2 linked regions of the Callithrix jacchus genome follow. The protein of the gene in region 1 purifies or fractionates together with the protein of each later gene. This does not show direct contact. Links are inferred from orthologs where the notes say so. Each region holds a gene or a part of one and is shown in the gene's direction. Other genes may lie near its edges.

Evidence for each region. Proteins that work in one complex are often made in the same cells at the same time.
Region 2: the proteins of TNKS1BP1 (region 1) and CAPZA1 purify together in Homo sapiens (affinity purification with mass spectrometry; 3 studies listed by BioGRID and IntAct, with this or other methods). This does not show direct contact. The link is inferred for Callithrix jacchus from reciprocal best matches to the Homo sapiens genes TNKS1BP1 and CAPZA1.

The regions. Positions count from the first base shown.
Region 1 is NC_133511.1:114,883,459-114,887,109, reverse strand, and holds part of TNKS1BP1 (182 kDa tankyrase-1-binding protein), read left to right. Parts: intron 1-2,441; coding exon 2,442-3,651.
Region 2 is NC_133508.1:150,629,931-150,633,099, forward strand, and holds the end of CAPZA1 (F-actin-capping protein subunit alpha-1), read left to right. Parts: intron 1-524; coding exon 525-587; intron 588-971; coding exon 972-1,112; 3' UTR 1,113-2,589; downstream 2,590-3,169. UniProt on the Homo sapiens protein: F-actin-capping proteins bind in a Ca(2+)-independent manner to the fast growing ends of actin filaments (barbed end) thereby blocking the exchange of subunits at these ends.

The DNA.
Region 1 (3,651 bases):
GGTTCTCTGCTGATGGCCTCTGTGTTCCCAGAGAACAGGAAGCAAGGCCATCAGCTGAGAGAGGATTGGGGGAGGTGCCGGAGGTTTGATGGGAGAAGATGCTAAACCGTTGCCTGGGAGAGTCCTGCAGTGAATAGGAGGGGGGGTGCCCGGGGATTCTGGGCAGCTCTAGGGCCGGCTCGAGGTCAGTGTTGAATCTGAAGGGAGACCAGCCTTCATGGTTGTGTGTTTTTCTCCAGCCACATGTAGCTGCTCAGGTGTGGGGCTAGGACTGGCCCAGATGTCTTGGAGAGCTGTGTTTAAAACAGGTTAGACAGTGTGATGAAGCAGATGGGGGAGTGGAGCGTTGGGTAAAAAGTGACTTTAGCTAGGCGCGGTGGCTCACGCCTGTAATCCCAGCACTTTGGGAGGCTGAGGCAGGTGGGTCACGAGGTCAGGAGTTCGAGACCAGCCTGACTACATGGTGAAACCCTGTCTCTACTAAAAATACAAAAATTAGTCAGGTGTGGTGGTGTGCACCTGTTGTCCCAGATACTCAGGAGGCTGAGGCAGGAGAACTGCTTGAACCCAAGAGGCGGAGGTTGCAGTGAGCCGAGATCATGCCACTGCACTCCAGCCTGGGTGACAGAGTGAGACTCTGTCTCAAAAAAAAATAAGTGACTTTAATGACGATAAGAATAGAGGTGAGGGTATGAGGGGAGCGTGGGGACAATGAGAAAGAATTAGTGTTAAGGGACTGTGCTACCAGAGGGATCAAAATGAGGGCATTGGGGAAATAGAGTGAGCTGGACAGATAGGCAGTGGGGGTGGGTGAGCGGGGTATTTGGGATTGAGATGATGCAGGGGGTGCAGCCACTGGTAAGGATGAGGTCTACAGTATGACCTTGAAAAGATGGGTCACGCAGTCTCTGGGAAAGAGGAAGGCAATGAACCAGAGGCTGGAAGGGTCGCATCCGGCTATGGAGGTCACTGTAAGCTGTCACAGCAATGCTGGAGAGGGTTGCAGTGATCCATCGGTTATGGTTTTCAAGGAATGATGGGTGTGTAGGATCGATAACAAGAAGGAATTATGGGTGCTGTAGTTCAAGGGCACAGGCTTTGAAATTAGAATGCTGTAGAGGGGATTGAGCATGGAGGGAACAGAAGGGACCTTGAGCAGCAAGCAGGACCCGTTATTTTGCCCTACCTAGTGGGAGAAGCAGCTGCATGGGAGAGGGTGGCCAGGGAAGCTTGACCTCTGCAGAGGGCAAAGGTCAGGTGGAGCCAGACTCGCTTCATTGTCGGGGGACAGGTGGAGTGCCAGGTGCTTGGTGCCTCGTTTGCCCCCTTCTTCTCTCTACGCCCCCATTCTCTGCCCCCATCATCCCACAAATCCTATGCTGAGGACCAGTGCACACATTTTCCTACCCCTCACCTCACTGGGAGTTGGGCATGGTTGCCATCAGCCCTAATTTACAGATGGGGAAACCGAGGCTCAGAGAGACCAAGAGTCCACCATACTTGAGGGAGGGCACATCTTTTAAGAGGCAGTACTGGCCTGGCACGGTGGCTCACACCTGTAATCCCAGCACTTTGGGAGGCCGAGGCGGGTGGATCACCTGAGGTCGGGAATTCGAGACCAACCTGACCAACATGGAGAAACTCTGTCTCTACTAAAAATATGAAAAGTTAGCCTGGCATGGTAGCCCATGCCTGTAATTCCAGCTACTTGGGAGGCTGAGGCAGGAGAACTTCTTGGACCTGGGAGGTGGAGGTTGCAGTGAGCTGAGATCATGCCATTGCACTGCAGCCTGGGCAGCAAGAGTGAAACTCCCTCTCAAAAAAACGAAAACAAAAACAAACTAGCACTGTGACTGCTCGGGCCAGGTGCTGTCAGGTCCCCCAGTGCCTTTTGCTTGGGTCTCACGGCCTTCCTGCCTCCTTGGCACCTCTGGAGTGGCACGAGGAGTGCCCCTGCATGCCCTAGCCCCTCCTGTGAGCAGCTCTGTGGCTGCACTGCACCTCGAGTTCTGCTCTGAGGCAAAAACCCTCTCTCCCCTCCCGAATTCCACCTGCTGAGATGCCTGGAGAGTCAGATTCCCAATTTTCCTTTTCCCTTTATAAAGCAAATATTCTGGACCCCAAACTGGGGCCTCTGAGGAGATCCTCAGATGAGCTTTGGGTTGAGCTGGTGAGGGGTTCAAACCACCTGAAATGTCAGGAATTATGCTTAGTGAATAAGGCGAGGTGCATTCTGGGGAGCAGGTCTAAGGGGGGCTCTGTGAGAAGCCCTGCCTCAAGTCCTCTGTGGGGCCTCTCCCAGCAGCCCCGAGAGACTTCCTGGGGTTCCAGTTTCCTCCTCCCAGCCTGTGAGAAGCTGACCTGGGGTCTGTGTGGGATTGGAGGGGACCCTCCCCACCCCGCTGAGAGGTGAGTAATGGCACTTGATCTTTCTTTTGCAGATTTCCAAGCCCTGGATTGCCTCCAGTCCACCTCCCTCCTCTGAGAATGGAGGCTCTGCCAGCCCAGGCTGCCCGCTGGAAGCCTCAGGCCCAGGCCCTGGCTCTCCCCATCTTCACTCACTCAATAAGAGTTCTCCCTGCCACTCACAGCTTCTGGAAGCCCAGAGTCCTGAAGCTTCCCAGGCTTCTCCCTGCCCTGCTGGGACTCCATCAGCTCCAAGTGCAGTCCTACCTGACAAAGGCTCCCACCACACCCCCAGCCCAGAGCTCCCAGCTGAAGGGGCCCCAGAGGCCCCCAGACCCAGCAGCCCTCCCCATGAGGTCTTGGAGCCCCACAGTCTGGAACAGCCCCCTGCCACCTCGTCCCAGCCCCTGATCGAGGTGGGTGAGTTGCTGGATCTCACTCGGACGCTTCCATCTAGTGGGGAGGAGGCGGCCAAGGGTGACGCACTCCTCCGCCCCACCAGCCTGGTTCAGCGCCGATTCTCCGAAGGTGTGCTCCAGTCACCCAACCAGGACCAGGAGAAGCTGGGGGGCTCGCTGGCTGCCCTGCCCCAAGGCCAGGGAAGCCAGTTGGCCTTGGATCATCCCTTTGGAGCAGAGTCCAACTGGAGTTTATCACAGTCCTTCGAGTGGACCTTCCCCACGCGGCCCTCGGGTCTGGGAGTGTGGCGGCTGGACTCCCCGCCTCCCTCTCCCATCACTGAAGCCAGTGAGGCCGCCGAGGCTGCTGAGGCTGGCAACTTGGCCGTGTCCGGCAGAGAAGAAGGAGTGTTTAAGCAGGGGCAAGGGGCCTGGTCAACGCCAAGTGGATCAGAAAGGCCTAGTTCCTGGGTGCAGGGGGATGATCCAAGCATGTCCCTTACCCAAAAGGGGGATGGGGAGAGTCAACCTCAGTTCCCAGCTGTTCCCCTTGAGCCCCTACCTGCAGTTGAGGGCATGCCTGGATTACCTTTGCAGCAGGCAGAGGAGGGGTGTGAGTTGCAGGAGCCCCTGGCTGGACAGGAGTTCCCTCTCCCTCTGGCTACCAGGGAGGCAGCCCTGCCCGTCCTGGAGCCAGTCCTGGGGCAGGAGCAGCCAGCACCACCTGACCAGCCCTGTGTTCTCTTTGCTGATGCCCCTGAGCCTGGGCAGGCCCTGTCTGTTGAGGAGGAGGCTGTGACCCTAGCTCTGGCCGAGACCACCGAACCCAGGACAGAGGCTCAAGACT
Region 2 (3,169 bases), on another chromosome or scaffold:
ACTTAATGGTAACAGAAAGAGAGAGATTCATTTCATTTTATATTTGAGCCACATAGTACAAAATGTGATTGGCTAGTTTAACATCTTAAGTGGCAAATAAAGGATATGTGAGCTTATGGTATAACTGATGTGTCTGAGGGCATTGTTCACATCATTTTAACCAGAAATATTTTCAGGGCGTCAAGTTTTCAAGACTTGATGATGTCTTTTGGGTGTACTCTGTGGTACGAGCATGGTTTTTTTGGTGAAGACCTAATTTCAGAATCCATCTTTATCATTCAAAAACTGTAATTTGGGTCAAGAAAACAGAGGGTTCTGTTTTCTAATCTGCAAAATGGGGGTTATGATTATAACATAGTCTCTTCCATGGAGTCGTGAGAATCAAAGGAGATAGTGGGCATGGAAACACTCGGGAAACTAGAAATTGTTATACAAATGTTAGTTAAGATGGAGTTACTTTTCAGGATCTTACTGCTTACACATTTTAAAACATCTGATTTTTCCGCTTTTCCTTCCTCCATTAGAATGAAGCCCAAACTGCCAAGGAGTTTATTAAAATCATAGAGAATGCAGAAAATGAGTATCAGGTAAGAAGATTTGGAGCTTATTTTTCTAGATCTACTATCTTACTATTTTGCTGTTAACATAGTTAGGCCTCCCTGTGTCCTTTAATGTAAATATACATGCTCTTCAGTTTTACTAAATGTGGAGACTTTGCAGACCTTCCAATTTGGCATTCTGCTTACAATCAGGGTTTCAGGATTGCTTGGGACTGTAGCTCTAGTTTTAGAAATAATATAGGTGAGCTTCTCGACCTACTTTAGAGGTTGGAGAGGAGCTCACTGAAAATAATATATCCTGTCTATCCTTCATAGGGGACTCAAGCATATCCTTTGACTGTAGCGTTACTTTCCTGTTCACAATCAGCCTCATTTCTGTTCAAGCAACTCATCTTCAATTATCTATTGCAGACAGCAATTAGTGAAAACTATCAAACAATGTCAGATACCACATTCAAGGCCTTGCGCCGGCAGCTTCCCGTTACCCGCACCAAAATCGACTGGAACAAGATACTCAGCTACAAGATTGGCAAAGAAATGCAGAATGCTTAAAGGCTGAATGTAGAATTCTCCAGTATGCAGAAAGACAAGGATTCAACGTGTGGTCATATAATAAATAAGTGATTTATAAACAAGAGTGATATTTTGCTAGGGCTTTCAAAGTTAACCAGTTTTCTAGCCTCAAGGAATACTGTTGAACCAATAGCATTGTCTTGATTCTTTTGTGTTCTCTGCCTTGTAATCTTCTGTTATTGCTATATCTACATGTAAATGTTTTTTTGTTGTTGTTGTTAATTCTGCCACATTTAATGTTGGAGAGAGAAAGATGTATCCTAGAGACATTTTACTGTTTAAAAAGGTTTCCTAGCCATGACCCTGTTACTGATGTAGACAAGGTATTATGGTCATTACTTTCTACCCCGTCCTTCCAAGCTCCAAGCACTTCTGGTACTTCAGTGGTTTTTACTGATCCACCAACACCTAAAAAGGCTATGCTACATCTATAGCTAAATGGAAGACACATTCATCCTTCTCCCTCTGCCTGCTTCGATCATCATTTATTGCATCTCATAACTGTAATTTTCCAAAGTTTGGATTGGGACTTTTCAAGTCCTTTTTGGAGGGTAAAGGAAGTGCCAGCTTCTCTGGGGAACTTGTTTTTAAATCCAAAGACTTGAACCACATTCCCTGCACATGAACGTGTTTGCTTTTATCCCTTCTCTTATTGTCTCCTTCCCATTTTAGTACCATTGTAGTTATAGATATCTGCATTTTTAGAAGGGTTTTACCCATTTATTTTTTTTAAACATTCAAGAACTGCTGACGTACTGTGGATATAGAGTATAAAACTTGAAAAATGCAGATGTTGAAGGAATAATAGGTATCTTGTGCTTTAATACTTTATGGCAGGATTGTACTATAAGCAAATGAATTAAACAGCTATGTAAATCACAAACAAAAACTAAAAATGAACCAAAGTGAAAAGGATAACTTCCAGGCAGTATCTTTCTATTGTAACCTGTTATTTAAGGAAATACTAGTGATTTCTTCTAAATAGGATGTAAAACTTATTTCAAATTACTCTTCCTCTGTCCTGCCTGCCAAGAACTCAAGTGTAACTGTGATAAAATAACCTCTCCCAGGTATATTGGCAGGTATGTGTGTAATCTCAGAATACACAGGTGACATAGATATGATATGACAACTGGTAATGGTGGATTCATTTACATTGTTTACACTTCAATGACCAGGCCTTAAGGGAAGGTCAGTTTTTTAAAAAATCAAGTAGTGTCTTCCTACCTATCTCCAGATACATGTCAAAAAAGAAAGGTGTTTGTGCTTCAGTTTTGTTTTTGCTCAGTAATATAGTCAAGCAACAGTTTGTTTCCCAGTGACCCATTGAGCTGTGTATGCATTTTTATTTCAAATAAAATATATTTGTATTATTTGTCATTCATACTATCCATCCATACCACACTATCTTCTGTATCAGGTAGTCTAATAGAAATATACCTGTTTTGTTCTAAAATTGTCTGAGCTCTCCTTTTTGATTCATCACTTCAGCCTTTGTTCTCAAGGTAAGATATTCAGCTGTATTGGATCTTATTTGCTGAGAATGTTTAGGGTTTCTGAAATTGGTTTTTGCCTTCAACTATTATGGACTCAGTGAATATCCAAAGATTTGTAAAGGACAGCCTCTTTAAGTATGAGCAATATCTATGGATCATGCTGCTCTTCACTCAGAGACGACCTGTTTTTCAAAGGGAAAAATGTAGTTGTCTTCTGGACCTGTCATTCAGAAAGCAAGGCCCAAGTATGGTCGTAGTCACTAGGCAGAGGTAGAAATGAAAGAATCCCTGCCTTAAACTTGCTAATATTTCACATTGGGTTATCTCAAAATGCTGCTTTCCTCTCCTTAGCTGACCTAGCTACAGACTTGTGGGAGAGGCTTTTTTTTTTATCCTGGTTCCCCAAAAAAGAACCAGAGGGAGTTTTGTGCTTCTTGTACTCCATCCAAGGCCAGTTCAAATTCCCACCTTTTTGAGAAACACTTAGCTGCATTCCATTCTACTTGTAATGCAAATAGATTCAAACATTCTTGCTTTTAA